Saccharomyces cerevisiae S288C: one gene and its partners. The protein of the gene in region 3 interacts with the protein of the main gene of each other region in a pairwise test. Each region holds a gene or a part of one and is shown on either strand. Other genes may lie near its edges.

Evidence for each region.
Region 1: the proteins of TRX1 (region 3) and AHP1 interact in a two-hybrid assay, tested with the Saccharomyces cerevisiae proteins (one study listed by BioGRID).
Region 2: the proteins of TRX1 (region 3) and MXR1 interact in a two-hybrid assay, tested with the Saccharomyces cerevisiae proteins (one study listed by BioGRID).

Annotation. Positions count from the first base shown.
Region 1 is NC_001144.5:367,096-369,892, reverse strand, and holds AHP1 (thioredoxin peroxidase AHP1), read right to left. Parts: upstream 1,113-2,797; coding exon 582-1,112; downstream 1-581. Other genes in the region: CCW12 (Ccw12p), read left to right, coding at 1-196; YLR108C (uncharacterized protein), read left to right, coding at 1,769-2,797. UniProt on the Saccharomyces cerevisiae protein: Thiol-specific peroxidase that catalyzes the reduction of hydrogen peroxide and organic hydroperoxides to water and alcohols, respectively.
Region 2 is NC_001137.3:233,382-236,072, reverse strand, and holds MXR1 (peptide-methionine-S-sulfoxide reductase), read right to left. Parts: upstream 1,137-2,691; coding exon 582-1,136; downstream 1-581. Other genes in the region: SAH1 (adenosylhomocysteinase), read left to right, coding at 1-303; YEN1 (crossover junction endodeoxyribonuclease), read right to left, coding at 1,333-2,691. UniProt on the Saccharomyces cerevisiae protein: Has an important function as a repair enzyme for proteins that have been inactivated by oxidation. Catalyzes the reversible oxidation-reduction of methionine sulfoxide in proteins to methionine.
Region 3 is NC_001144.5:231,180-233,595, forward strand, and holds TRX1 (thioredoxin TRX1), read right to left. Parts: upstream 835-2,416; coding exon 523-834; downstream 1-522. Other genes in the region: PDC1 (indolepyruvate decarboxylase 1), read right to left, coding at 1,211-2,416. UniProt on the Saccharomyces cerevisiae protein: Participates as a hydrogen donor in redox reactions through the reversible oxidation of its active center dithiol to a disulfide, accompanied by the transfer of 2 electrons and 2 protons.

The DNA.
Region 1 (2,797 bases), 140 kb from region 3:
CACCTGGTGCCCATTGACCACTGAAGCCCCAAAGAACGGTACTTCTACTGCTGCTCCAGTTACCTCTACTGAAGCTCCAAAGAACACCACCTCTGCTGCTCCAACTCACTCTGTCACCTCTTACACTGGTGCTGCTGCTAAGGCTTTGCCAGCTGCTGGTGCTTTGTTGGCTGGTGCCGCTGCTTTGTTGTTGTAAACTTAGTTTATTATTATTTATACATTCTAAATTTTTTATAAACTTTTTTGGCATTTAACAAATATATAACAATTGGGATTTAGTAGAAATTCTTTTAATTTCTTCTTTTTTTTTTTAATCTATATTTATTCTTTTTCTTTAATTTTGTTCGAAACGCATATAATGTTTTTATTGATTTTGTTTCAGGTTCCTGAACCTCGCGGAGTTCCTATTTTACTGTTGTTTTTTTTCAAAACACAGGGGTACCTTGAAGTATACGCAGTGCCTCTTAGCCAAGGATAATATAAACACACTAGAACAAAAAAAAAATACTCCTTGTACAGAATCGTTTTCTATTTTGAATTTTTTTTATATAAACATGGTTTTATTGTCTATTACATAGCATCTACAAATGAGCCAAGACACTTTCGACTGAGGAAACGGTCACATCGGTACCTGGGTTGGTTTCCTTGGCAGCGTAAGTAACGATACCGTTTTCAACAACCATGGCCCATCTACCACTCCAGTAAACACCGTCACCGACGGCTAATTCGAAACCAATGGATTTGGTGAAAGCACAGCCTGGGTCGGAGGCAAACTTGATGTGTGTGGTGTCCTTAACACCTAAACTCTTAGCCCACGCTTGGTTAGCGAACGGGTTGTCAACAGTAACAACGATCACTTGGTCAACTTCCTTTTCCTTAACTAATTCATCCAAGTAGTTGATGTAACCTGGAATATGGCTGACAGTACAGGTTGGGGAGAAAGCAGCTGGAGCACCGGTAATGATAACCTTCTTGTTTTCAGAAATTAATTTGGACCATTCAACTGTTTGTGGCATCTTACAAGATTCACTGTCAGCATCACTTTGGCTGATAGCAATGTATTGGAATTTGTAGTCGCCAGCTGGGAATTTCTTGTTAACTAAGTCAGACATGTTTTGTTGTGGTTATTGGTAGTACTTGTGTTGTTCTGGTTTGTTGAAATTTCGTTATAAAGAAACGGTATATGCACAATTGGCAAGGGAGAGGAAATTGTGCTCCTTTATATAATGTTTCGTTTATGCTTTTCCCTTACATCTCGTCCTTAATTTTCCACCCCTTTATTTTTCATTTAACCTCTCAACAATATGTGAATACCGTCCGGAAGGGGTGTGGAAAAAGAAAAAGAATGATACAGAAGAAAATCAAAAGATGATATTCAACTTCATCACCAAATACTGACCTTTTTGGCCAGAGCTCCCCGTATAATTACAAATCAGAAAAAATCCGCGCTCACTACCTTAACGGAAGGAAATATTCCACATGTCGGATTAATTTTTCTCTGGTCCCATGACCATGTGCCGAAATCTTTTCAGTGACGTCAGGACCGGTTTTTCCGAGAGCCCCACAGGGGACGCCGATGATTTAGGGTTCTTTTCTTGATTACTAATAGACAACATAAGCGCAATAGATCGAGGCCAAGGTGGTGGTTTATAAATTGTATTACCTTAAAGGCTCATTATTAGCTTGAACACGAATATCCAAAGAACACGAACAACTTCAGGACGTGGATAGACAAGTGTAAAGTCACTCACACGCACGCTCATATCAGATGTCTGGCCAAAAGGGCGAGATCGTGGTTTATACAAAAGAGTTAGAAACTACCCCCGAGCTTTTACCAAACCATGAAGTTTTCAAGATTAGGATTGGCCAAAAGCTATTTGAGATCTCAGGTGCTACATTGAATTCGGATGCGCCCAATTTTTTCACCCAATTCTTCAATACGCACGATAAAAATACGATTCTATTTGTTGATAGATCGGAAGACGTGTTCATCATAATATACAGACATTTACAAGGTTATTTTCCCGATATTAAGAACGAAGTACAATTTACCTGTCTTTTCGCGGACGCATTATATTTTCAGTTACCCAAGTTAGTTAAACTCATAAAAGAATACGACTACCACTTCACTAATATTGGAGGTGTTCCCTTTAAGGTACCAAAATCATTATTCCATGAAGAAGGGAACCGGTTGAACTATTTTGAAACGATTTCTCGCATATCTTATGAGGAAATTGAGAAGTGGGAGTCAAATAAGAAGCCGGGCTTTCCACCTTTATTACCACCCTCATATATTGCAAGGTCCCCAGAATTTTTCCGAGATATATTATCTTTACTGGGCGGTTCCAAATTAGAACTGTCTGAGGAAAGAACCGCATCTCTGATAAAAGAGTGTCGTTATTACCGTCTCAACAGGTTGGAGCAGGAATTAGTGCGGGCAAAAATTATATATAATCCCTTAACTAATTGTCAAGAAGTTTGCATAGCTCTTGATAGCGTCTCCAAGAAGGGTGTAACCATTGAAAGGTTAACATCACTTCATACCGGAAACCAATCTTTAGCGGTAAGCAGTTGTCTCAATGGAACTGAGGGTGAAAAAGCCGCTACTGGATTTCATAAAACCGAGACTGATTCAGGCAACAATGATGAATATGAACCTCCAACAAAAAAGGTAAAACATTGTATTGAAAGACACTGGAGCATGTTAAAATACCAAAGGCCTTATATCGATACAGTTTCGCACGATCTTATTTTCCAATTACACTCTAACCAGTGCAAAATAATATTCAACAAAAAG
Region 2 (2,691 bases), on a different chromosome or scaffold from region 3:
TTGGGTTGTGCTACTGGTCACTCATCTTTCGTTATGTCTTGTTCCTTCTCTAACCAAGTCTTAGCTCAAATTGCTTTGTTCAAGTCTAACGATAAGTCTTTCAGAGAAAAGCACATTGAATTCCAAAAGACAGGCCCATTCGAAGTTGGTGTCCACGTTTTGCCAAAGATCTTGGATGAAGCTGTCGCTAAGTTCCACTTGGGCAACTTGGGTGTTAGATTGACTAAATTGAGTAAAGTCCAATCTGAATACTTGGGTATTCCAGAAGAAGGTCCATTCAAGGCCGACCACTACAGATATTGATCAATTCAATTCCCATTTCAGTTCTTCTTTCTCACTATTTTTTAATGTTCAAAAACTCAACGGTTTGATCATCAAAAAAGATCATAAATAAATTGCAAATATAAAAACAACAGCTAACAATCCTATCACAGTATTAATACTAATACATGTGATACTAAGTTACGTTATCGAAAAGATAGATCCTGTATACCTATATATATAATAAATTCTTCAACAGTAAATATTTCATTCATGCACTTGACTTTTTTTCATAAATAAGGGCACGTACACTAAAAAAGCTACATTTCTCTCAGATAATGAGTAGGGCATGCATATCCCTGTGGATTCTTATCTAAATATAACTGGTGGTATTCTTCAGCATCGTAAAAGTTCTTGATTGGTTCAATAACTGTGGCAATCTTATTACCCCATTTTGGTTGCCATTCTTCCTTTATTTTGGCTAATTCTTTTAAATCAGCATCTGAATGAGCGAACAATCCACTGCGATACTGTGTACCTTTATCAGGTCCTTGTGAATTAGATGTAGTAGGATCATGGATTCTAAAAAAGAAATCAGTTAATTCTCTCAAAGTTATCACTTTGGGATTATAGGATACTTGTAAAACCTCCGCAAAATCTGTGTCACCACCACAAACTCTCTTATAAGAGACACTAGAGGGGCTATCCTTTTTAGACTCTTCTCCATTAGCGTAACCTACTTTACAATCCACTATACGGTCATTCAAATACTTCCTATACATATGTTCTGTACCCCAAAAACATCCACATGCTAATGTGATTAATTTATCCTTGGCTGGATCATACTTAATGGTTTTTGAAATAAGCGACGACATTGCAACTTGATTTACTTGTTAAGTTTTTGACGTTAGAATATAACTGTCTTTCCAATTAAATCTATATATATGATATTGAAAAATGTGTCTCTGTCTACTCTTGTTTATATATGCCCTTCATTTTACTCATCGCAACTCCCTCGTTTTCGGCGCGATCAACTGTGGTGGCGGATTTTTTGACGCTGTGCCCGTTAACTCATTCAATAGTGCTACTGCTATCACTGTCACAGGCTACAAACCGGTCGACTGTATCTTGTGCGTCTGTGACAAGTTGGTCAAGGACAGAGGAGTGTTCTCTTTCTAACCTTGGAGCAGTCAAGTTTGGAGGCAACATCTTAGTACCTTGAAGGCGAGCATTGATTGTGATGCTTGAGCGTGATTTTAAACCAGACTCAGGCGGATTTTTCTCAGCATTAGTAGTTCTTGACTTTTTTATTGGTGATATTTCTATTACGTCCTTCCAAACGTCAACCTGTTCGTCCTGTGTAAGATCCCGAATTCTTTTACCGGGTGAACTATCTAAAACGCTTTGGCTGTTTGTAATCTCATCTACAAAAATCAACGAATCATCGTCATTATCGCTGTGTTCATCGACGGTGGTCAGTCTTGTGGGAGCCGGTATTTCTTCCAGACTAGTATCTTCGTCTGTATCTACAAAAAGCCTTTTTCTCACAGGTTCCAGGATTTCCTTTCTCGACTCGCCTACCTTTCCGATACTTTTAATCGGCGAAGTATGCTTTCTTAAAAACTCATCCAAGTTATTCTTCTGTGGTAGCCGAGACTTATTCGATTTTTTACCTTTCTTCTCTTTTTCTTTCTGTATAAGTTGCTGTGTCTCATAATATTGAATTACTAATGGATGCGATTGAGGTATCAAGTATTTGGGTAACCAAAGACTATTTGGGTGTTCCATTATATCCATCTGACGTCGTGTGGGACTCTTGCTTCTACTGGGAGAATTACTGCGCTTCAAAGGAGATTGAGAAGAAATGGGTATATTAGGCAAGAATGTTGTATACCGTATTTTAAAACATGGTATTTGGAACTTTCCACCATCTATGTTCATAATTTTTTCTTCGGTAATCCTCATATTACCTTTACCTATATTATCGGACTCATCAATTGATAAAAATTCTCTTAATAGAAACATCTCGTGCATAGAATCATGAAACCACTTGTCGAAGCTAGAAATTTGAGGCAAATTCAAACTTTGTAAAAAATATTTCAGTTCATTGAAATTTAAGTTTCTGTAGTGTCCGTTTCCAGCCATATTTATGTATTTATCACTGAGAACTTCTTCATCAAAATATGGTTGGACAATGGGGTGAAAATAGTGCATGATTGCGACAGTTGATGGCCAGCCTTCAAATGAACCTTGATTCAATAAAACAGGATAATTTCTTCCAAATAGCTCGACAGAATGATCCTTGCAGTATAAATATAATCTTTTTTGAAACAATCTATACCGAGACTTCCTCAGACTTTCTGATGTCAAATCTTCTAAATTGAAATCTTTGAAAATGTCATAAAATTCCATGGAAAAGTTAGGATCTTC
Region 3 (2,416 bases):
TTCTGTACCGCTGTTATTTTTAACATCCACTGCGTTTTATGTATCTCTAAAATTGTGCGTTGCCTTTCTTTTGTTTATATTTTTGTTCAAAAAATGAGTTAATAATGATTTTTCATCTTCGGCTTACCGGTCTTGAAAATATTTGTTAAGACAACAGTGGATAAAATAAAACTAAACAACTCAAGCAAAAGTATTCCACTTCTTAAACAAAGCCCAACTGAAAGGTTGCGAAATACTATGTCATTTTGATTTAATCATCTAATGCTCGAGAAAATTTCAGAGCCGTAATACTTAAGTAATCGGAAGAAAAGTATCTCATTCTTCATTTTTCTCCAAATATATACCTCTTGTGTGAAAAATTAATTGTTTCCTCCACCTCCTTTGTGTGGTGGGCAATTGTGTGCTTCCGAGTAAATAACAAAACATAAGGATAATATATAATTCTGTTTTTTTGTCTAAAAAAGGTAAACTATATATAACAAACACAGTATAGAAACACAATATATCGGTCATTGGGTGAGTTTAAGCATTAGCAGCAATGGCTTGCTTAATAGCCGCTGGGTTGGCACCAACAACCTTTGCAACTTCCTTACCGTTCTTGAATAGAAGCAAAGTTGGCATAGCGGAAACTTCATTCTTTTGTGCAACATCACCCAATTCATCGACATCCAATTTATAGAAATCAGCTTGTGGGTATTGTTCAGAGAATTTTTCAATCATTGGAGCAATCATTTTACATGGACCGCACCAAGTGGCGTAGAAATCTACGACAACTAGCTTGTCTTGAGCAATTGCAGAGTCGAATTCGCTGGCAGTTTTGAATTGAGTAACCATTATTTGTATCGAGGTGTCTAGTCTTCTATTACACTAATGCAGTTTCAGGGTTTTGGAAACCACACTGTTTAAACAGTGTTCCTTAATCAAGGATACCTCTTTTTTTTTCCTTGGTTCCACTAATTCATCGGTTTTTTTTTTGGAAGACATCTTTTCCAACGAAAAGAATATACATATCGTTTAAGAGAAATTCTCCAAATTTGTAAAGAAGCGGACCCAGACTTAAGCCTAACCAGGCCAATTCAACAGACTGTCGGCAACTTCTTGTCTGGTCTTTCCATGGTAAGTGACAGTGCAGTAATAATATGAACCAATTTATTTTTCGTTACATAAAAATGCTTATAAAACTTTAACTAATAATTAGAGATTAAATCGCTTATTGCTTAGCGTTGGTAGCAGCAGTCAACTTAGCTTGTTCAACCAAGTTTTGTGGAGCATCGAAGACTGGCAACATGATTTCAATCATTCTGATCTTAGAGTTGTCGTTGAAAGACTTGTCTTGGGTCAACTTGTCCCATTCACCGGTGGTAGCGACTCTGTGGGTTTCATAGTCCTTAGCACCGAAAGTTGGCAACAAGGATAGGTGGTCCCAACCTTGAATTTCGTTGTATTGAGCCTTTGGACCGTGAATCAACTTTTCAATGGTGTAACCATCGTTGTTCAAGACGAACAAGTATGGCTTCAAGCCCCATCTGATCATGGTGGAGATTTCTTGAACAGTCAATTGCAAAGAACCGTCACCAATGAATAAGATAACTCTCTTCTTTGGATCAATTTCTTCAGCAGCGAAAGCAGCACCCAAGGTAGCACCAGTGGTGAAACCAATGGAACCCCATAAGACTTGAGAGATACCGTAGGTGTTGTTTGGGAAAGTGGTTTGGTTGATACCGAAAGCGGAGGTACCGGTTTCAGCAATGACAACATCACCTTCTTGCAAGAAGTTACCCAATTGGTTCCACATCCATTCTTGCTTCAATGGGGTAGAAGCTGGGACAGCAGCGTTAGCTGGAGTTCTAGCTGGGACAGCAACTGGCTTGTAACCCTTAGCGGCGTCAGCAATAGTGGTCAACAACTTTTGCAAAACGAATTTCATTTGGACACCTGGGAAAGTGGCGTTTCTGATCTTCATGTGGTCGGAGTGGAATTCGACAATGTTCTTGGTCTTGTAAGAGTAAGAGAAAGAACCGGTGTTGAAATCAGACAACAAAGCACCGACAGACAAAATCAAGTCAGCAGATTCAACGGCTTCCTTAACTTCTGGCTTGGACAAGGTACCGACGTAAACACCACCGTATCTTGGGTGTTGTTCGTCAATGGAACCCTTACCCATTGGGGTGACGAAAGCTGGGAATTGAGTCAAGTCAATCAACTTCTTAGTTTCAGCCTTGACGTCGTGTCTGGAACAACAAGCATCAGCCAAGATAACTGGGTTCTTAGCATCCTTGACCAAAGCCAAGATGGTGTCAATGACTTCCTTTTCGGATTCAGCATCGTTTGGCTTCAAAGACATGTCAATTGGAGTTTGCAACAACTTAGCTGGGACGTTCAAGTCGACCAAGTTAGCTGGCAAACCTAAGTAGAC